Nothobranchius furzeri: one gene and its partner. The protein of the gene in region 2 interacts with the protein of the main gene of each other region in a pairwise test. Links are inferred from orthologs where the notes say so. Each region holds a gene or a part of one and is shown on either strand. Other genes may lie near its edges.

Evidence for each region.
Region 1: the proteins of pinx1 (region 2) and aida interact in binary tests that used the Homo sapiens proteins (3 or more experiments, as listed by UniProt). The link is inferred for Nothobranchius furzeri from reciprocal best matches to the Homo sapiens genes PINX1 and AIDA.

What each region holds. Positions count from the first base shown.
Region 1 is NC_091742.1:8,353,275-8,363,003, forward strand, and holds aida (axin interactor, dorsalization-associated protein), read right to left. Parts: upstream 6,195-9,729; 5' UTR 6,057-6,194; coding exon 5,950-6,056; intron 5,328-5,949; coding exon 5,261-5,327; intron 5,180-5,260; coding exon 5,126-5,179; intron 4,615-5,125; coding exon 4,560-4,614; intron 4,494-4,559; coding exon 4,430-4,493; intron 4,250-4,429; coding exon 4,146-4,249; intron 4,019-4,145; coding exon 4,010-4,018; intron 3,889-4,009; coding exon 3,766-3,888; intron 3,676-3,765; coding exon 3,553-3,675; intron 2,385-3,552; coding exon 2,267-2,384; intron 2,188-2,266; coding exon 2,088-2,187; 3' UTR 1,920-2,087; downstream 1-1,919. Other genes in the region: E3 ubiquitin-protein ligase rnf8, read left to right, coding at 6,767-6,889, 7,056-7,184, 7,328-7,770, 7,979-8,186, 8,617-8,679, 8,815-8,904, 8,980-9,087, 9,174-9,378. UniProt on the Homo sapiens protein: Acts as a ventralizing factor during embryogenesis. Inhibits axin-mediated JNK activation by binding axin and disrupting axin homodimerization. This in turn antagonizes a Wnt/beta-catenin-independent dorsalization pathway activated by AXIN/JNK-signaling.
Region 2 is NC_091742.1:1,142,739-1,152,258, reverse strand, and holds the start of pinx1 (PIN2/TERF1-interacting telomerase inhibitor 1), read right to left. Parts: upstream 5,904-9,520; 5' UTR 5,812-5,903; coding exon 5,793-5,811; intron 5,422-5,792; coding exon 5,312-5,421; intron 1,806-5,311; coding exon 1,704-1,805; intron 1,539-1,703; coding exon 1,457-1,538; intron 1,180-1,456; coding exon 1,090-1,179; intron 1-1,089. UniProt on the Homo sapiens protein: Microtubule-binding protein essential for faithful chromosome segregation. Mediates TRF1 and TERT accumulation in nucleolus and enhances TRF1 binding to telomeres. Inhibits telomerase activity. May inhibit cell proliferation and act as tumor suppressor.

The DNA of each region.
Region 1 (9,729 bases), about 7.2 Mb from region 2:
TTTCCGGGCAGCTCGTGGGTCCCCAGAAGAACGAAAAATGTATGAGCTATTTGCTAATCCGCTTTGCTTTACGCACCGGGATCGCACATGTGTTGTACTTCAATTTAAACGAAACGTAAATGTGTGTTTCGACCACGCCAGTCGCCATTACTTTGAGATTTAGTTTCTAAAAATTCGTATTTATGACTACGAATTAGACGTAAAAATGACGCATAAGTGACGTCACCACACAATTTTTCTCTGGCCTTAACGTAGCTGCCACCTTGCCACATGGCAATGTTTGTGGTAGTTCTCTTTTCCTCCTGAAAGAATTCAAAGCTCGCAAATCTTACGAGAAGATCTTACAGCCATTTTTCTTCGTTTTTCTCTCCGTGTGTGGTTCGACGACGTCAATTTGGTGATGCACACTTGTAGTCCTGGACGTATTTTCACACAAAACTTAAAATACTCTTGTTTGCGCCCTTTCGAAGCTAGGCGCTTTCTTGACATCAGAATATCTCTTTAAAATTCATGGACATCGTTTGTTAAATCTGTCATAACGAACAGGATAGCGCCTTTCATTCAATTTATCTTTTTCCGAGGACCCATGGTCCGGAAGTAGATGGGCGTGACTATTATTGGGAAGTTTAAAAGTGCATAATGCTGCATGGATTACATGTAAAATTCACTATCTTAATTTATTAGAAGTTAAAAACAAATGTGTGGGTTAATTTTTAAATTGTGTGGGTTAATTTTAAATCAGTAAAAAAAAAATCCGACATCCACGGGTTTTTTTTAAGTTAGAAAAATTATATCTAAAAAGCCGATCTGACGTCACATCAACAGCCCTGACCTTTCACAATAAAAGCTTTGTTCTGAACATTTCTGCTCTGGTAAAGATTAATGCAACTTTCTGATCACAGGTCTGAGATAAACCGTCTGAAAAGTTGCAGCAGATCCAACATGAACTGCTGTTCTGATTATTTTATTAAAACAGAAACCATCCAGTATTTATTTTCTTCTCTCAAAGGACGTAAAGCTTTAATACTGAATTAGAACATTAAAGTCCTCGCAGGGCATTTATTTTATTTATGAAACATTTGCTGAGTATTAAATACTTTAAAATGATTTAAGGTACTATAATACATGTAGTACAACTCAATTAAACACACATACAGTATACGAACATATAAAAACGTGATTCAAACTTATAACCAGTAAAAACTAGTTTGGCGGGAATTGTTTAGTGATACATTTGTATTTATGGTTGTTTGAAAAAATTAAACAAAAAGATGGCTTCATTTATATCCCATTATTTAGTGCTAAAATGTTTTAATAAAAAAAAGATGTGATGACGTTAAAATGAGCAGATGGGTTCATTTTTTCCTCCAAATTTACATAAAAAAAAGATTTGTTGATAAATTAAAGCCACTACAGAAATGTTACTAAAGATGTTAAAGCAAAACAATACAAAGATGTTAAATGTGCACAAAAATACATTCATGAACTGTTGTTACACCTGAATTCCAGTTAAAAATCTGTTAATTCATGATTCAAAGCCATTGTGAGGCAATCAATTTGAACATATGGTGAACTTTATGACAAATGCTTGATGTTTGCGTTTAAATCAACAGTTTAGGACACTTCTGGCTCTGACATTAACCCCTTAGCTTCCACAAATCCTAAGGTTAATTAAAAAAATTCAGCTGAATGGCATCAGCGCCTCAAACAATTAAGATGGGTCATTTTAAACAAATCTCCTTCGTTTGTAATAAAAGTGCAAATATTGGTTATTCCCTCTCAAATGGCAACTAAGGGGTTAATGTTTGGCTGGTTTTTGGTTTAAAGTCCAGAGTCCAGTTATGCAAAGTCAAACTAAAACTCACCAGTGTCCCTAAAAAAGAAAAATCGGATCTAAAGGTGGAAGACTGAACATGAGGTGGTTTTGACGGCTTTAATGTGCTACAAGTTGTTAAAATATAAAATAAAACAGCGTTTATAAGGTTTTACTGAGCTGCATGTGAGGAACATCCAGATCAGTTAGTGTTATTTTGTTCACATACTCGTGGAAAACACCACCACCTGGATTTGGTATTGCTGATGAGGAGTCAGTTGTCCTTGTGTAGTGTCTGATGAAGGTGGAGATAAAGTGGTTTCTTCGTGAGTAGCTGCAGTTTCTTCCTCTTAAAATCCGTCGGCTTCTTGTACCTGAAATCCAAACAAGAATAAGAATTTTATTTCGTATTTTATTTACTTTCTTTTTCGAATCACTTTGAGAAATGCTCACAGCTCGATCACGATCGGTCCCGGTTTGATCTCGTCCATTTCCATGAAGGCGAAACACTTTGTGCTGGTGAACCTCTTTTTGGGCTTGTAGTGCTTGAACTCAAAGAAGATAGCCGCTCCTGGAAGAATCCGTGAAAAATAGATTGGTGGAAAACCGGCAGAAGCTACAGAAACAGGTTGATGCAGAGAAAAAAGTTTGAACCAAACCCACAAAGATCTTTGCGTTTGAGTTTGAATCGAAAACGTTCGCCTGCAAACTTGCAGGTGAAGGTTTTAGTCGTCCAGGGCGTGGTGATCCTAGAGTGACTGGACTTCTTTACTTTCTTTAAAAATAAAAAAACATCTTTGTCAAAACATTAAGGAGGTTGTCTTCGGTTTCAACTCGCCAAAACTAACCATGCAGCTCTAAATCTGATCCCCGGTCAGTTTCACAGGAAGCTACACCTTCAGGAACGCAACCAGAATGTTCTACACGTAGATCAAGACGTCAAAAACCCTCAGAAGGGATCTGAGCACTAGCTCGCATTGATGAAGCGCTCACGACAAGGAAGTAAAGAAGTCTGGATTTGTTTTTGTTTTTTATACTGACGCACCTGAGGAAACACCAACACACGCACAAGGAGAACGCGAATGTTCCCCGGAGAGAGGTCCCACCCATAGGCATGTATACATAAACACCCCATTGTGAGTAAGAGTGTAACAGTGTGGCCGCCATATTGAGTGGGTTCTTCACTCTCCAAACCCAATTGGAGTCAATGCAGTTAGCAACAATGCCCGATTTTTTTTTTTTGCAGCCAGCGGTTGTAACAACCGGCGTACTATTGAAAACAGAACAGGTGGGATTACTATTAACTTTTCTAGCCCAATTTATGTGATATTTTTAACTATACAATGTGTTTGGTTTTGTGAAAAGACATAAAATGTGTTTTTGTGTAAACACATTCCTCAGTAAAAATAAATGCACTGGGGGCGAACGGAGACCCATTCAAGATGGCGACCGGCTGTTACACCAGCTCACAGGGTATCCATGTATATGATGTGTGTGGTCCCACCTGGATATCTGGAACTTTTACTGAGTGCACACAGATAAAGTACCACCTCAAGGGACTCTGTGAAAACTTTTTGCCACTTAAATGAAAGGATCACCATCTATTTTCTAGATAAATGAAGGAAGCAGCTGCCTTGCTTTGATTTTTCAGGGCTCTATGCCGCTGCTGAGCAGAGGCGGAACCATTTCCTGTTTTATTTGAACGGATTTCATTCTGCCCGACTAGCGCCTGCGCTTACCTTTTGGTAATTTCTCTATGTGTCTCTGGATCTCCACGTCGACGCTAAAGTGAATGTAGGTGTCCTCCTTTCTGGTGGCCACAGGCGTGTCCTGAGCCGGGTTCAAGTCCACACCGTTCACATCTGGAGGACAGAATGCAAAAACAATCCCATTTCTTTTTTTTACTGTTTTTACTAAACGGACCGAAACCGAAGTCCAGCAGGATGCAGTACCCTTGACACTGACGGTGACGTAGGGATCGATGCACTGTCCAGCATCCTTCAACCCAATCTTCTCTATCTTTAGAGTAAGTAGTGTCATCCCAGGTTCTGAAGGTAACCGTGGCAACAGAGTACCTAAACAGATAAGTTAGTGTTTTCAGTGTTTTTTTATTGTATCTGAGATTGTTGAAAGAAGCTTTACAACCCACAGCGTGATCCTGACAAAATCAGGACTCGTGTTCACACAAATCTGTACCTTGAGAAGCTGCAGAGGAAGCAGGCAGAGATGAACGAAGAAGCCATGCAGCACAGCGCCGACAGAGAGAACAGAAACATGCACGGTCAAACGGACGTTTTGAGACACAACACACGAGATCGAGCAGCGAGAGTACCGGGAGCTCTAGGTGGGAACGCTTCGGTAGAACCGGCTCCTGCAGGTGCATCCTCCTCCTCCTCCAGATCCAGGTCCTCCTCCTCACCTGGAGCCAGGATTTTCCTGATGGAGAGAAAAGACCTGTCGCATCACCCGACTGAAATCATTGGAAAAGCTGTTTTTTCCGTTTCCTTTATATCAATAAATATGCTCTCTTTTTTTCCCTCTGTATCCATAGCAACACACTCCCCTGTAAATATTTAACCCTTTTTTTTAACTCTGAAGCTTTAAGATAAATGTTACCTTAATGGCACTGGCTGGACGTCGAAGGGAAACTCTTTGTTATGGCTGAGGATGTTCTTTATTACTGGAAGAAACAGGATGGTTAGAACGTTAACGACAACTCCTGCAAAATGAGTAGCTGTAAACCTACTGGTTTCCAGTTTCTTCAGGTCTTCTAACTTGAACTCTTCTTGTGATTGTGTGCACTGAGGAGACACACAGACAGGAAAAGATCAGAACTCAAGAGAAAGATTTACGTTCATGTCTTACTTTGGTAATAAATACATGAATATGATCGCCACATGCTCAGAAATTAAGTTTTGAAGGATTTTAATCACCCTTTGTGCTTTTTTTTATTTTTTTAGTTGGAAAGGGTCTTTATATTAAAATAAATATATCAAATACTGCAACATAAACGGGAAAGTGTGAAAAAACAACTAGAATTGTATCACAAAGCAATGAAGATGAAAAAAAAATCCATAAATCTACAAACCTCAAACACAAAAACTCAGACAGGAAATAAAATTACCACAAACTGCTGCAAAAGGAGAACAAAACATGATGCAAAACTGACAAACTGCCATACAAATATTGAAAATAATGACGCTAAAGCCAGAAAAGTGCACAATAACAACAAAAGTTCACAGTAACAACAAAACACATCTAAGTCTGGTTGTCCACTATCATACAAAAAGAGAAATAAGTAAGAACACAAACCTGCAAACTGGCACTTCTCATCTCCAGGCATGTTGCAATCTTTCCTAAGGTTTTCTGAATGTCCAGAAAGAAACAAGATGCTGTGATTTGAAGCAAAGCAGGCGAGTTTAGCCTGCAGACTGATGCAATTATTACCTTCTGCTCTTCTGTGAAATCTGATGAATTTGAATTTTGGACCTCTTTCTGCAGCTGCCTTGCTAATCTGGATTAACGAGAACAGTTAGATGGGTTAATCAATCAATTCCAAGACGATTTGTCACATCAGTGGGCTGTTCTGCGCCCCCTTTTGGTCAACGTGGGACACTGTCAAGTCATCTATCTGCACTAAAGAAATCTAAAACGTGTCATTAAAATGAATTATTACATAAACATGATCACATCCTGAAATAACTTGCGGAGTCTGATCTCCTCAGAGAACAAGAGAGCTTTCCTCACTGAACACACGAAACCCACCCATAACAATGAGAGGGTGTGGCTGACTGTTTCCCAACACTCTAAGGAATATTGGTTATTCTCTTCTCCTAACGCTCAGAAACAAGACATTCAGCTTTGGGTGTTTCTTTTTGTTCTTCTCCCCTCTGTGAATGAAGATGGGATGGGACTCCGCTGCCTCTGCAACAATGCCACATCACGTCATGGATGGGAAGGGTTTATTTACTGCTGTGGGGGCTGACTGACAGCTCCGAGGCTAACTTCTGCAGGTTTAAGAGCTGACAAGCTTTAAGACAGCAAAAAAATAAAAAGCTAAACAAGCCGTCCTCGCTGTTCCAGATGTTTACACTCAATCGTACAAAAATAAGACACACATGTTGAATGTAACTCACATTTGGTACTCGTCTATAGCCTCTACCAATTGTCCCCACGAGTCAAAGTCTGTGCCTTTCTTGAAACTGGCGTGCCATTTCTGAATAGTCTTGTTGACATCAGACATTTTGGCGGGGCGGATACTCGCGGCGCTCTCAGGGCAGCATAGCCGAGGTGGAGATTTATTTACGCAGCTTCGGCAGCCTGGTTATCTCCCGTCCAGACATACGCGGATAAGACCGGTGACACACGGACCAAGCCCTTTCTGCCTGTTCAACACTGGGACTTCCGGTGCAGACAGGAAGTCCCGCCCCGGGGTTAGGTGCACTCGTTTTAGGGTGCTGGGTTGCCTGACTGAGAACAAATCACAACAACAAAGTGCTCTAATTTGAATTTTCGATAAAAAAAATTCATTGCTTTAAAAAAAATTTAAACTTCATAAAGCAAAAATATATTTAATATATTAAAATATTTATCATCCAAAATACTAGCATTTACTTTTTAACGTTACTTTCATGTTTAAAAATGTCAATAAATAAAGAGTAACGTATCCCAGAAACCTATTCTATTCATACTTTTTTATTTATTTTGCCTTGTTCAAAAGATTTACAACACGTGATACGTGCCGTTATACAAGAAATAATAAATAAAACATTGATATTTATTTTAGCAGTTTCCCGTCGCTTTTATTTCGAAATGAATTGTACCGTTTTCCGGTGTCTCCCGGATCGCTACCGCGTTAGCATGTAGCAGTTATGTGACGGAAGACACACATCGACATATACATATAAGACACAACAACAGCGGAGTGTTTGGCCTGTGACAGAATGGCTTAACATGGATAGTGCAACGGCGGATTCATGTTCGGCTGAGGACGGTGAATGTTCGGACTCGGAGGTCTTGTGTCTGATGAGAGTCGGAAAAAAATCAGACTGGCTTCGTTTGTTCGAAAAGGCAGAGGTACAGTTTGCTAATGTTAGCTTAACTAAAAAAAATCATTTTCAGGATTGTGCTATGTATACATACAATAGGCATGCCATTTTATTCATTAAGTTTTTTCTAACGGCGTAGTGGACCCTGTTTATATGGAAAAACTGTAAATTGACGTTTGTTTTTGACTGCTCAGATCACTGTTGGACGTGGTTTGGATGTCACCTACCAGCTGCTGTCTTCAAGTAGTCCTCTCATGATCTCCAGACTGCACTGTGCCTTCAGACAGATAGAAGACGGTCACTGGACAGTGGTAGACAAAAAGGTAGCCTTATTTCTTGAGCTAACTCTCCTAAAATTGATCTCTAACAGATGATGGGGCTATTATTAACAGCAGCAGCTAATACCAAGTTAAATCTTAGTAAATAAGTTATTATTATTATTATTATTATTAATTATCTTCCACAGAGTCTCAATGGTGTCTGGGTGAACGGAAATCGGATTTCTGCCGATGAACCTTACCTGCTCAAACTTGGAGACTCGATCCGACTTGGAGTTCCTTTATCAGGAACCAAAGTAGAATTTGATTACATCCTCATCCGGCGACTGCTCAGAAACATTCAGCCGTACCTGGCAAAGGCATGTAGAACTTGGGCTAAAGAGCCGCAAGTCTCCAAAAAATCCAAAAGGAAGTTGACTGTGGAGGAAGTCGAGCCTTCTACATCAAAGCCTAAGCTGTACCGCTGCGATTCAGAAGGGAAATCTTTTGCAAAACCCTGTCCTCTGTCTGCGGTGAAATGCCAGCAGCGGCTCAGTAACACACACCTGGAGGAGACGGCATCCAGCACACAAAAACAAGAGCAGCACTCTGATGGATCCAGTGATCCTTGTGAAGTGGACAACCTGCAGAGGTAAAGTGTGACTCCTCGTAAAAAAGGTTCTCAATCAAACCAAAGACACTGCTCCTTTACAAGCTTTTATTTAATACATTTGCTGAATTATGTGTCACATATTCAAACAGACTCCTCTCTACTTTTAATGAAAATAATACTCTTTAGGAGTTGTCCATTCTGATGTTCTGTTGTGTAAAAGTTGTAAATATTAATGTATAACCTGCAGGTACAGCCAGAATCTCCTGCTGTTACGGGAGCAGGTGGATGACACCCAGAAGCAGGTATCATCTCTTGGAGGAGAACCCAGGCGGGCAGATCCTCTCCGACGGGAGCAGGTCCGTGAGCTGCAGGGTCAACTGGAAACCCTTAGAGCCAAAATGTGTCAAATGAAGACTTTAGAGAGAACCTTCAGTAAAACAAGGAGACAGTTGGAGGTCAGGAGTGTTGTTTTTTTTTCTTTTTGAAACATCGTTACATTTTCATTCCCCCAACCCGCAATTGCTTTATTTTACAGCGTTAGTTTAACTTTTAATTCTCCACATTTCAAAATGATTCAGCCATACTTTAAATAATCTTGGTAACGTTGCAAAAAAAAGATCTTAAACATAACAAAACCTGTTAAAGAGCTACATTTCTGCATCATATTCCATATCGATATTAATATTCCAGAGCATATTAATATTGAGCATCTTTTTTGGGGTTTCAAACAAAAGCGCCACATATGGAAAGTAACACGTTCCTCACCCTTCTTGTTCTGACATATGTGAATCAAAAGGTTCATCTGCATTTACAATTAGAAAAATATATATGTCCATAAAAATAAAGTTTCAATTTAAGTGAATCGTCTGTCTTTTATGCGTTTAGGAGCAGAAAACACAGCAGCAAGAGGAGCTAATGAAAAAACAACTTGAAGAGGCTCTTCAGGAAGTAAGAAGGTTCAATTAAACTAATTAAAAGCTGTTAACACATTTAATTTAAACTAACAGTTTTTTAGTTTATTTCTTTAAGTTTTTGATTAAATGTAATAAAAAGTTTTTTTGTGCCTGTTTTTTCAACAAACAGCAAAAGAAAGTGATCGACGAGCTTGCCGACTCTCGAAAAACATTTGAAGAAATCCTCTCTGCGAAAAACAAAGAACTAGAAGAAACAAAGGTGCCTGAAAGACACTTTTTAAAACACACATTTTTACCTTGGTTGTCACTTTGATTCATATTTTTTTTCCTCCAGGAGGAAAAAGAAAAGGCGAAAGCCCAAAAGGAGGAGGTAGTAACACAAGTCACAGAGGTTCTGGAGAACGAGCTCCAGTGCATCATCTGCTCAGAGCTCTTCATCGAGGTAGAGCCAGGAACCTGTTTGGGATCATCTTACTCACAAAAACCCGACTTCACCTGCTGAAATTAAAAAAAAATGTCCCTGTACAGGCGGTCATCCTGAACTGTGCTCACAGCTTCTGCTGTTACTGCATCAAGTTGTGGCGCAAGAAGAAAAACGAGTGTCCCATCTGTAGACAGGCTATCGAGTCCCAGACCCGGTGTCTGGCCCTGGACAACTGCATCAACCGTATGGTGGAGAACCTGAGCCTGGACATGAAGGCCCGGCGGCAGACGCTCATCACTGAAAGGAAAGGTGAGAGGTGTGTTCTCATCATCCACGCCAAACTCATAGAAATGAATCATCCATCTTTGATCTTCACTCATTTATTCTGTTGGAACGTTTCTTTAACCCTTACAGACATTGTTTATATATATATATATATATATATATATATATATATATATATATATATATATATCTTATTTCTGATTATAATCCGTCACTCTCGAGTTTTTCATGCAGGGTGCTTCTCAATGTCAAGGCGCCTTGCTAGGCCAGCAACAAGTCTGTTGTTGGTTTAGCTTCCAGGAAACAGCAGAGAACATGTTAGCTAGTAGAAGCTAACCATTAGCATTAGCTACATCACCACATGGCAGAACTCCT
Region 2 (9,520 bases):
AGACCCACAGACCAACCACGCCCTGAAGGCCTCCTTCAGCCTGACGGCTCCCTGAACCTCTGGTGTCCACAATTTCACTATTTCAACTTGGTATGGTTGTATTTATAGTCACATATTCACAATCTACATGAATGTACAGTGAGTCAAGAATATAAACCAGCTCAAATAAAGCAGAACAAACAAGTGTCCTCATCTCACGAGTCTCAGGTGTGCCTGAAATGGGTTCATCAGGAATAGTCATTTCAGACTCCTTCCAAATTAAGACCACAAAAACAAATCTGCGAGGGTCTGGAGGAGAGACCGAAGCTCAGTCTTATCTGATGGGGTCATCTAACGGGTCAGAGGAGCTGCTGTTTGCAGCAAATGGAGATACCACATGCCCCAAACAGGAAACAGGAAGTTGCTATTGAATGACGTAAAATACTAAAGGTTCTTCCAGGTGAAACAAAAGTTGAGATCCTTGTTTTTTCAAGTGTGTGAACCTGATGATGTTGATTTGAACTCAGTGACACTTTGTCAAAGATATGCTGAGCTACTAAAGCAAAGGGCAGTCATGATTCCTCATTAAAAAACATGCAATCATGAAACTATCTCCAAGTTATAAGAACTCAACACTGAATTATGATTCAGCCTTCAGTGGTCCCGAAAACTAAATTCCTCCTAGAGTAGATCAGTGCACTGGCCTTGACCAGCAAATCTTAGCTTCCTGACATGTAAAGGCTAATGAAAAGAAAGGGGAGGGTTATAAATAACCTCCCTGAGCACTCACCGGGTCAACTGACCCAGCACAGAATGACAGAACTCTGATCAGCGTCTGTGGTCTGAGGCGAGGGCACAGGGCTCACTTATGGGTCAAGAGCTCCGTCTGCATGGGTGCGTGCTGAAGGTGCTCATGGGCAGAAACACACACACAACTCAAATCATTGTTAGAAACACAACTACTCATCCTGAATCAGTCCCTGGTTTTTAGAAATCTTTTGACGACTGAATTTCCCGTTGCACTGATTAAGTGGTTTATTTAGTTTTTATAGGACGTTTGTCATTTCTAGACCATTACTTCCAACTACAGACGTTAGAAAACACACCCACCTTTGGTGAACTTCATGTAATGGACTCTCTTTTTGGAGGTTTTGGATTTCTCCTCGAGGCTGAAACCTTTCTTCTCCTCTGACGGGGTTTCTACAGAGAAGAAGCCAAAATCAAAACCAGCATTAACTACTTGTTTAAGTATGTGTGTGTTCTATTTAGAACATGGAAATAATGATTGGTTGGGCATATGCTTTACAAAACGTTGAACTGTAGCACCCTCTGCTGTCCAACAACTCTTAGTAAGTAAAACCATGTGAACCACTTTGAGTCTAACGAAAACATTTTTAAGTTAGTAGAGTGGAGCACAGCTGAGCTGAAACACACCCGACAGATTCAGAAAACTAACTCAGTGTAAACTGGTACATACCATCTGTGGTGTTTTGACCATGGTGACCGTTCAGCTGAGCAAGAAGATCATTGAATTCATCTTGGTGAGCAATCCAGTTGTCCTGCAAACGTAAACGATCTCAGCAACACAAAAAGGAAAATAACTATAGGACAAGATTTTTATTTTCCTGTTATTTTGCAGAAGTATCCAAAAGACCTAAAAGCCAAACAGGAATCAAATGATAAATATATTTTTTACTTCGATATAAATAAACTTGTCTCTTAACTGTAGTCACCTCGTAACTGGCGTTGGCTCCAAACCCATAGCTGTCATTTTTAACCTTTACTTTGATGTGGTCGGTGGAGCCTTGCTCACTCCTCCCCAGACCCTGAAGATACAGAGAAAAAGGGTTTTCTGACATGATTTCATGTGAGTGAGTTATTTACTTTATTGGGTAACGCAAATTCATATGAAACATTAGAGTCAGACCTTCCATTTTTTTTGTTTTACATAGATTTTACATATTTTATTGGCAGACTGAGACATCCAAAATGTAAAACAGAATCCTACCGGAGGTCATTCATCCTCTCTGCAGTAAGAGTGTATAACTCCTAAGTAGGGCTGGGCAATATGACGGTTTTAGACCGTTTTACGATCTACACATCTGACGGTCTGTCATTTTTGAGAGACCTTTTTTTCACGATTCACAGCTCTGTTGTTGAATTTCTGCCTCTGAATGAAACGGGAACTTACCTCAGGTGAATGACACGCCTTTGTTTGACCCTTAACCAATCAGAGTGAGTCATAGTAATATATTAATGCCCCGCTTGTTTTCACCTGTGTGTGAACAAACATGGCTTCGGCCGCGGCTGAGAGCGACAACGAGGTTTTCGTTCCAAAGAGGAACGCCTCGTCCATTATATGGAACTGGGTTGGTTTTTCACCAGATGACAAAGAGCAGCGAAACGTCATTTACAAGGAGAGCATCAAGGCAAGTGATGGCAACACCACAAACTTGTTTAATCACTTGAAAAGAAGGCATCCCAAACAATACAATGACAGCCAGCTGGCAACTAAAGCTAAAAAGCCTGCGGCAGCAGCGGCTAGTGCTTCTTCCTGGCAGCAAACGCTAACAGAAACACAGAACTCATTCCTTACGAGAGAGACAGCAGACGATGAAACAGCGTGACCGATGCAGTGACGTACCACTTGGTTAAAGATTTGTGTCCCGTGCGAACAGTAGGAGTGGGATTTAAGAAAATGATAAAAACATTGGATCCGCGCTACGAGTTTTCCAGCCGCAAGTATTTTTCGAACACCGCCATTCCACGCATGTACGCTGAATGCAAAGTGAGAGTTGCAGAAAATATTCAGAATGCGCAGTTTTTTGCTACCACAAGGTCCAGCCGCACATCAGAGACGTATTTGAGCTTAACTATCCACTACATGAGCAGCTGGGAGCTACATAGTATTTTGAACAAGTTAATGTTTGCACAATACATTTGCAATTGACATGTTTGCACTTTAAATATGTTTACGATTTTAATTTATGTTAAGTTACTTGAAAAACGAGAAAAACTGATTTTTGTAATTGTTTCTCTCAGGGCTTTTATCATCTCTGGTGTGAGTTTAAAATATAAGTATGTTAGCACTGTGCTGATTATCCCTAATATGAATAAATGTTTATTTATTCAACGTTTCTCTTCTTTAATACGCAATTGAAGTTATGCTGTTGTAACCCAGGTTTCAGGATAGTTTTAATTATATTAATATAGTTTGTAGTTGTTTAAAAATAAATTAAACAAATAAAAAAACTTATATTACAGAAATGTTACTTTTATTGATCAGACTTTTAAGACATCAGACTTTTATTTTTGTAAACGGATGTTGTGCGAGCCATGTGATTGGCAACAGCCAACCGGATCGCTCGGTTGCTTAGTCGCAGCTAAGCGAGGGAGATGAGCAGCAACACCCAGAACTACTGCAGCACGCAGAGCTACCGCAGCGAGAGAGAAGGAGAGCTGAAGAGTTAAAAGAAATTGCCTAAGGCGAATTTTCCTTTTGTGACCAAAAATACAGCAAGAAACGTTTTTGATGTTCCAATCTGTTCCAGTTGGAGACGTTTTGTAAAGTTGTGAAAAGGACTTGGTGAGTTAAAAGAAATGTATAATTTTAGTTAAGCAAAGATGTGTAATGTAACTATTATTTCATGTAAATGTGGCGCTAAAGTAGTGACTGGGTGAAATGGGGAAGCATGTTATGGTGAGTGCTGGAGGGAGAAGGGCTGTTAATGTAACGGCCGGCGGTTGCCGTTTTCTGTCCGTTTTGAAGGAGCTGCATATTCATCGGCACAAATGAGACAGAAGCTGGGTTTTATTTCAGCACTACCTGGTGCCTCATTTTATTCATGTATGCATATTTTGTTATGCTAGGCCTTTTAGTGTGGGTCGGAAAACAACCTCCTAAACTCGACCGCGGGAACCACGTGAAGAGCTAAGATGGCGGGCCACCCATGGATTCGCGAGCTGAGCCGTAGTCGCCAGCAGACCTCCCTCTGCTGAATCAGCCCTGGACTTCACCAACATTGGATAGGTCTTCCAAACACTGGTGGGAGTTGCTTTATTTCTTGTTTCAGGAAGGCACTGAACTCAATAAGAGCCGAACTGTTCTTCAGAATCACCGACAAGGAGACTAGAGACTGTGAACTGCACATGTGTTCAGCCTTTTGCTGGATTATTTTGGTTGTGTAAAGTTTTTTTTTGGTTGGTTTTACTTGATTGTGGGAACTTGAATACGGGTAAAAGGGTAAATCTTTTTCTATGCAAGGTTACTTCCATGAAAGGGTTATACCTGCGAAAAAATTTATTAACGTGGGTCAAAGAGAACTAAGGTTTTGCTGGAACCATAGAGCTGAATTTGATGGTTTATTCTAATTGAGTGAACTTAAAAAGGGGACAAATAGAAAAAACCAGATAACGTGAACTAGAGTCTATTGAAAGGTTGCAACCTATCCCAAATTAGAATTAAGTGTTAAATCCCAAAATACGGGTTTTAAAAGAAAAAAAACCACTTAACCCATTTAATTCCAAAAATCTTAACAAGGGGTCACCAAATGTAAATTTGTGTTGTGTGTTTATTGTTCGTGTATAGTCTACTTACTATTACAAATAATAAGCCGGCAGTTTAATTCTGGTCTGTGGTCTCTTTCTTCTTTTAATTTTACTCAAATCCTAAATTTGCTCCAGTAGTCGAACCTACCTCATCCATACTGGTCCAACCCTTAGTTCAAATAACTATTTCCCCTGTAATCGCCTACACAGGAGTGTTACACTATTCATGGATAAAAAATCGTGATAAAATCAAAATCGTGATATTCTATTTTTGCCATATCGCCCAGCCCTACTCCTAAGTTTAAATGGTCCTGGCATTATCCTGTTACACAATAACATCAATGCAATCTTATGTGTTCAACAGTGATGGAGACACCGAAGCTTTCCAAACCAGGCTTTCTGCTATGTGTATTTGGCCGTGGCATGCACGGTTACAGGTGAAATGTACGATTTACCTGCCTCATACATTTGAGTTCCCTCTGAGTCCCAAGGCAGCTGTGGCTACATTGTAGCTCATCAAAATCAGTGAGTGGATGCGTGTGTGAATGGCTGAATGATACGCTGTAGTGTAAAGCGCTTTGGAGTCCTCTGACTTGAAACAATAAATTATGTGTAATATTACTGTAGCTTTTGGTTTTGTCAGCACATAATTTACAGTTCAGAGTCAAATTAAACCACTCTTAAGGCTGAGTTCTCAGTGAGCAACACTATTTGCAAACTGCAATATTCTGAAAGTTAAGATACACTAATGTACAGGAAAAAAACAAGCGTTCATCAGACGTACTTTGCCCTTGGACCAGCCCATTCGCTCCAGCATTTTCTGACCGAATTTCGAGTCGTCATTACTCCAGGCGCTGTTCCTGGGATCGACTGACCACTTCTGTTTCCTGCGGGCTAAAACAATGCAACAGCATTATATGAAACTACAGCACCATGTTTACAAGCAAGAGAATTGATGAGCAAACACGCAATTAAATACAACAATAATTCAGTCACGAACAATGCATTAGATCATAAATGACCTGAAGACGAGTCACAAAAACTCGGATTTAAGGCCGACACGCGCTACCGTCACTAACCGCTGACAAGCTAATGCTAACTACCCAGATACTTATAAGAAACTTGACATAAAAACAAGATACGCTAGCGTAATAATGCAACGTATTTGTTTGTGGGCTTTTACAGCGATATATTATATAATAAATTATTTGTAACACAAAGAAACAACGAAACATTTAACACATTTGTGAGGAAACGCTACTCACGTTCAGCGAGCATGGACATCCTGGGGTCCTTGCTCAAGTCAACGCAAACAATGAGGATTCTTGAATAATGCCTGAACACAATGCTGTTACAAGCTGTTCTTTTATTATTTATATCTTATTATTACGCCAGTATTACGCTTCAAGCACTATCACGTGACCACAATCGATATTGAAAATAAAAAATAAAAAGTATGCGTGAGTACTTTTTTGTTTTGTCAGAATTTAGTAATTACTGCCAAAGCACCCATTATTTTCTCCAATAGAGGGAGCACCAACCTAAGGGTTCGCACTTAGGCACGAACGTGTAATGACTTTTAGAATAAATGCAAATACTCCCATAAGTAATCATTCTAATTTTTAACAACTATGATTTATTATGTGTATTTGAAGTGAATGTGGACTGACTTGTTACAAATGAGCTGCTGATTTCGATCTGTTGGATACCAATCAATAAAGTTGTCTGACTGATGAAGTAATAACTATTTCCAAATAGTGTCAAATTCATGGGAAAGAAAAAAATCTAAATTCTTCTTGGAAGTGAGAAAGGCAGTGATGTGTCAAAATCCAGCATTGGAATGACTCAGATAACATTGCTGCAACAATCTTGAAATATTTGGTAATAGCCCAAAACAGGCTCTTGGTTCTTTTGAAAATCTGTAAAAACTAATAAGTCGGTGCACATCCACAGATTGAACCAACACATCATTTTAGTACTGGATATGATGAAATTGATCACACGACGCGAGTCAGTTCTGTTCTGGAGATTGGGCCATTTTTTCAATATTTACAGACCAATGTCTAGACTGTGTTCTGGCGAAGGTTAAAGATTTCTTAGACACAAATGGTATTTTGGCACCATATCTGTCAAGCAGGCTTTCACAAATAGCACAGCACCACTTCTGTTAAAGGTAGTTAAAGATATAACTGTGGCTCAGACCGTAAAAAGTACAGTTGCAGTATTCATTGACCTATCTAGCTCTTTTTCTTCCTTCTACCTGCACAAAATGTGTACCCCAGGGCTCCATACTTGCACGCTTTTCATCAATAACGTTTTGTTTCAATTGTTGCTCTTCACTGGTATACTGATGACATTGCTATTTACTTATTCACCATTATTTAAACTCTGGACTTTCTAAACGCAGCATTTGGGGTAGTGCAGCGTAAATTTAGTACTGAATGGTGTGATATCCAAATGCAACCAAAGGGTTAAAATGAAGGCTACTGGACTCCTTTGGTTTCTTGAAGACATTTCACTTCTCGCCTGAGGAGCTTTTTCAATTCCAACTGGGAGAGTCAAGCTTAAAAGTTGTAGCTGCCTATTGTTATTTAACGAGCTGAAACTACTCTGAGTACCCCGCCTCTCCATCCCCAGATGAGTCATTGGCCTCTATTGAGAGAGAGTCATTATGCTGATTAGATGCAGGAAGGTGTGACCTAGACTGTAACTGCTTAGGAATGAGATTTAAAGCTGTATTATAGGCAGAGGTGTGACCAAGTCACTGCTTTGCAAGTCACAAGAAAGTCACAAGTCTTTCCAGTCAAGTCTCGAGTCAAGTCCAAGTAAAAGACAACCAAGTCCAAGTCGAGTCCAAAGTCAATGATGTGAAAGTCCAAGTTCTTAACTTTGAATTTTCAAGTCATAATCAAGTCATCTGTCCAACTTCAGTTTAATGACGATGATAATAAATAAATTCCAGAAATAAAGCTTCTTAAAGTTTCATTTATTTGCTGAAACAAGCAGAAATAACTGAAACTGATTATAAACAAAGAGCTGCTGCAGTTAGCAGAACAAGATCAAACCCAGAACGAAGAATGATTTATGATTTTTGTTCATGTCATGCAATTTTTGTGCTAAAATATCAAATATGCTCAAGTTATCATCAAGTCAACAGATGCAAGTCGATTCAAGTCGCAAGTCATTGGTGTTCAAGTCCGAGTCATAAGTCTTTATAGATTTTATCAAGTCAAGTCAGAAGTCATTAAAATAATGACTCAAGTCCAAGTCATGTGACTCGAGTCCACACCTCTGAATATAGGTACTGGAAAGGTGAAATCTAAGCTCCCACTCCTATTTCAAGAGCCAATAATGCATTTAATTTGAATAATCTTTTGAAGGAAGATTACAAATTTGAATGAATGAATGAATGAATGAATGAATGAATGTGTGGGAGCCATTTTAACTGAAGGTGTAGTTATTGGTTTTTACACTAGATGGAGGCAAACCCACTGAACTTTTGAACAAGTCACTGTCTCCATCTCTTTAATCATGGTGCACATGGGCACAGGTGTGTTGGATGGAGACAGGGGCAAACAGTTTTGGGCCGTGCTGAAGCAGGTTAGATTATGTTGGAGCTTACAGAAAGAATTGATTGACTATGGGAACAAATGTCAGATGGAGCTGTAAGAAAATAAAAGAACAACATTTTATTTCACCCCACGCGTCAACTGGTCTGTCCTCTTCCATCACCTGTGGTGGATGGGTTTCGTTTGGAGAAACTTTGGCCCCACAGAATGAATGAATGAATGAATGAATGAATGAATTGATTTCTTTCAGTGATTTTAAAACACGTTAATGAGCATGAGAAGACGACTCTGTGCGACTGTAACTGCTTTGCTGACGGAATCATCCCGACTCGTTGGGTTTAAAGATTTGTACCGGTGGATTGCTTTTATCTGTCATTGTAACAAGTCACTGCGTTTAATTCTCTGTATGGTCCATTGGATGACTCGTGATACAGACCCTTAAAATACCCTGATGCGAAGTTTTTTTTGTTTTGTTGCCAAGCTATCTGCTGTTTTTACTGCCATTCTTTGTGATGCCTTTTTTTATTCTTGAATATTAACACCACTGAGTTAAGTGGCTTCATAAATGACAAACATGTTGTCAGGGTAGTTTCTTGTAGAGCCCTGCACTGAAGGCCTAGGCCCTCGGGCCGGGCCGGACACGGGCTCAGATTTTAGGCCCGTGCAGGGCTCTAGTTTCTTGGTCCAAAGTAAACAGCTGCATTGAACGTCAGAGTTGCTCTTATGTAACTGACAACCACAGAAACAGAAGCCAACTTACAGTAAGGGAGTGGCGTAACCGGTTTGTTGCCTAAGTCTCACTGATAGCTGTAATACGATGGTTGAAACAGCATTTTTAAAATTCGGAACTGTGACTAAGTTTTAGACAGTTTATAAATCACTTATGGTTCCAGTAGCTTTGGAGTCCGTATTATGAGCTGCTTTGTTTCCGTATGAATGTAGACAAACACTTTTGGTCTTTAAGTTACGTAGTAAATCATTTGTTGAATGACTCAAACCTTTATTTACAATAAAAGCTCAGTCTTCCCTTGAGGACAATTGTGGACAATTTTGGTGCGCTCAAAGCAGGAAGCGGATGTATTTAATGCTGAATTCTTTCAGAGATTGTAAAGAAGAACTGTGTTCTGCAGAAAGGAACTGGCTGACTCTCATCACTTGGTTTTGTTGCCTGAAGTAAAAGAAAACAACACTCTCATGGATGGAAAATATTTCATTATGTAATGTTTTAATTAAATGTCACATCAAACAAATATTTAAATATTGTGGCATTTTTTCATAAAGCAGCATATTTTTCTGTTGTAGTGCATCATAACTGTTTCAAGATCCATTTTTACTATTTTAACTCCCGCCCTGCCCTGAATACATGAGTACTATAACTTAAACAGCAGTTTAAACCTTTATTATATCACCTTCTTTCAAGTTTG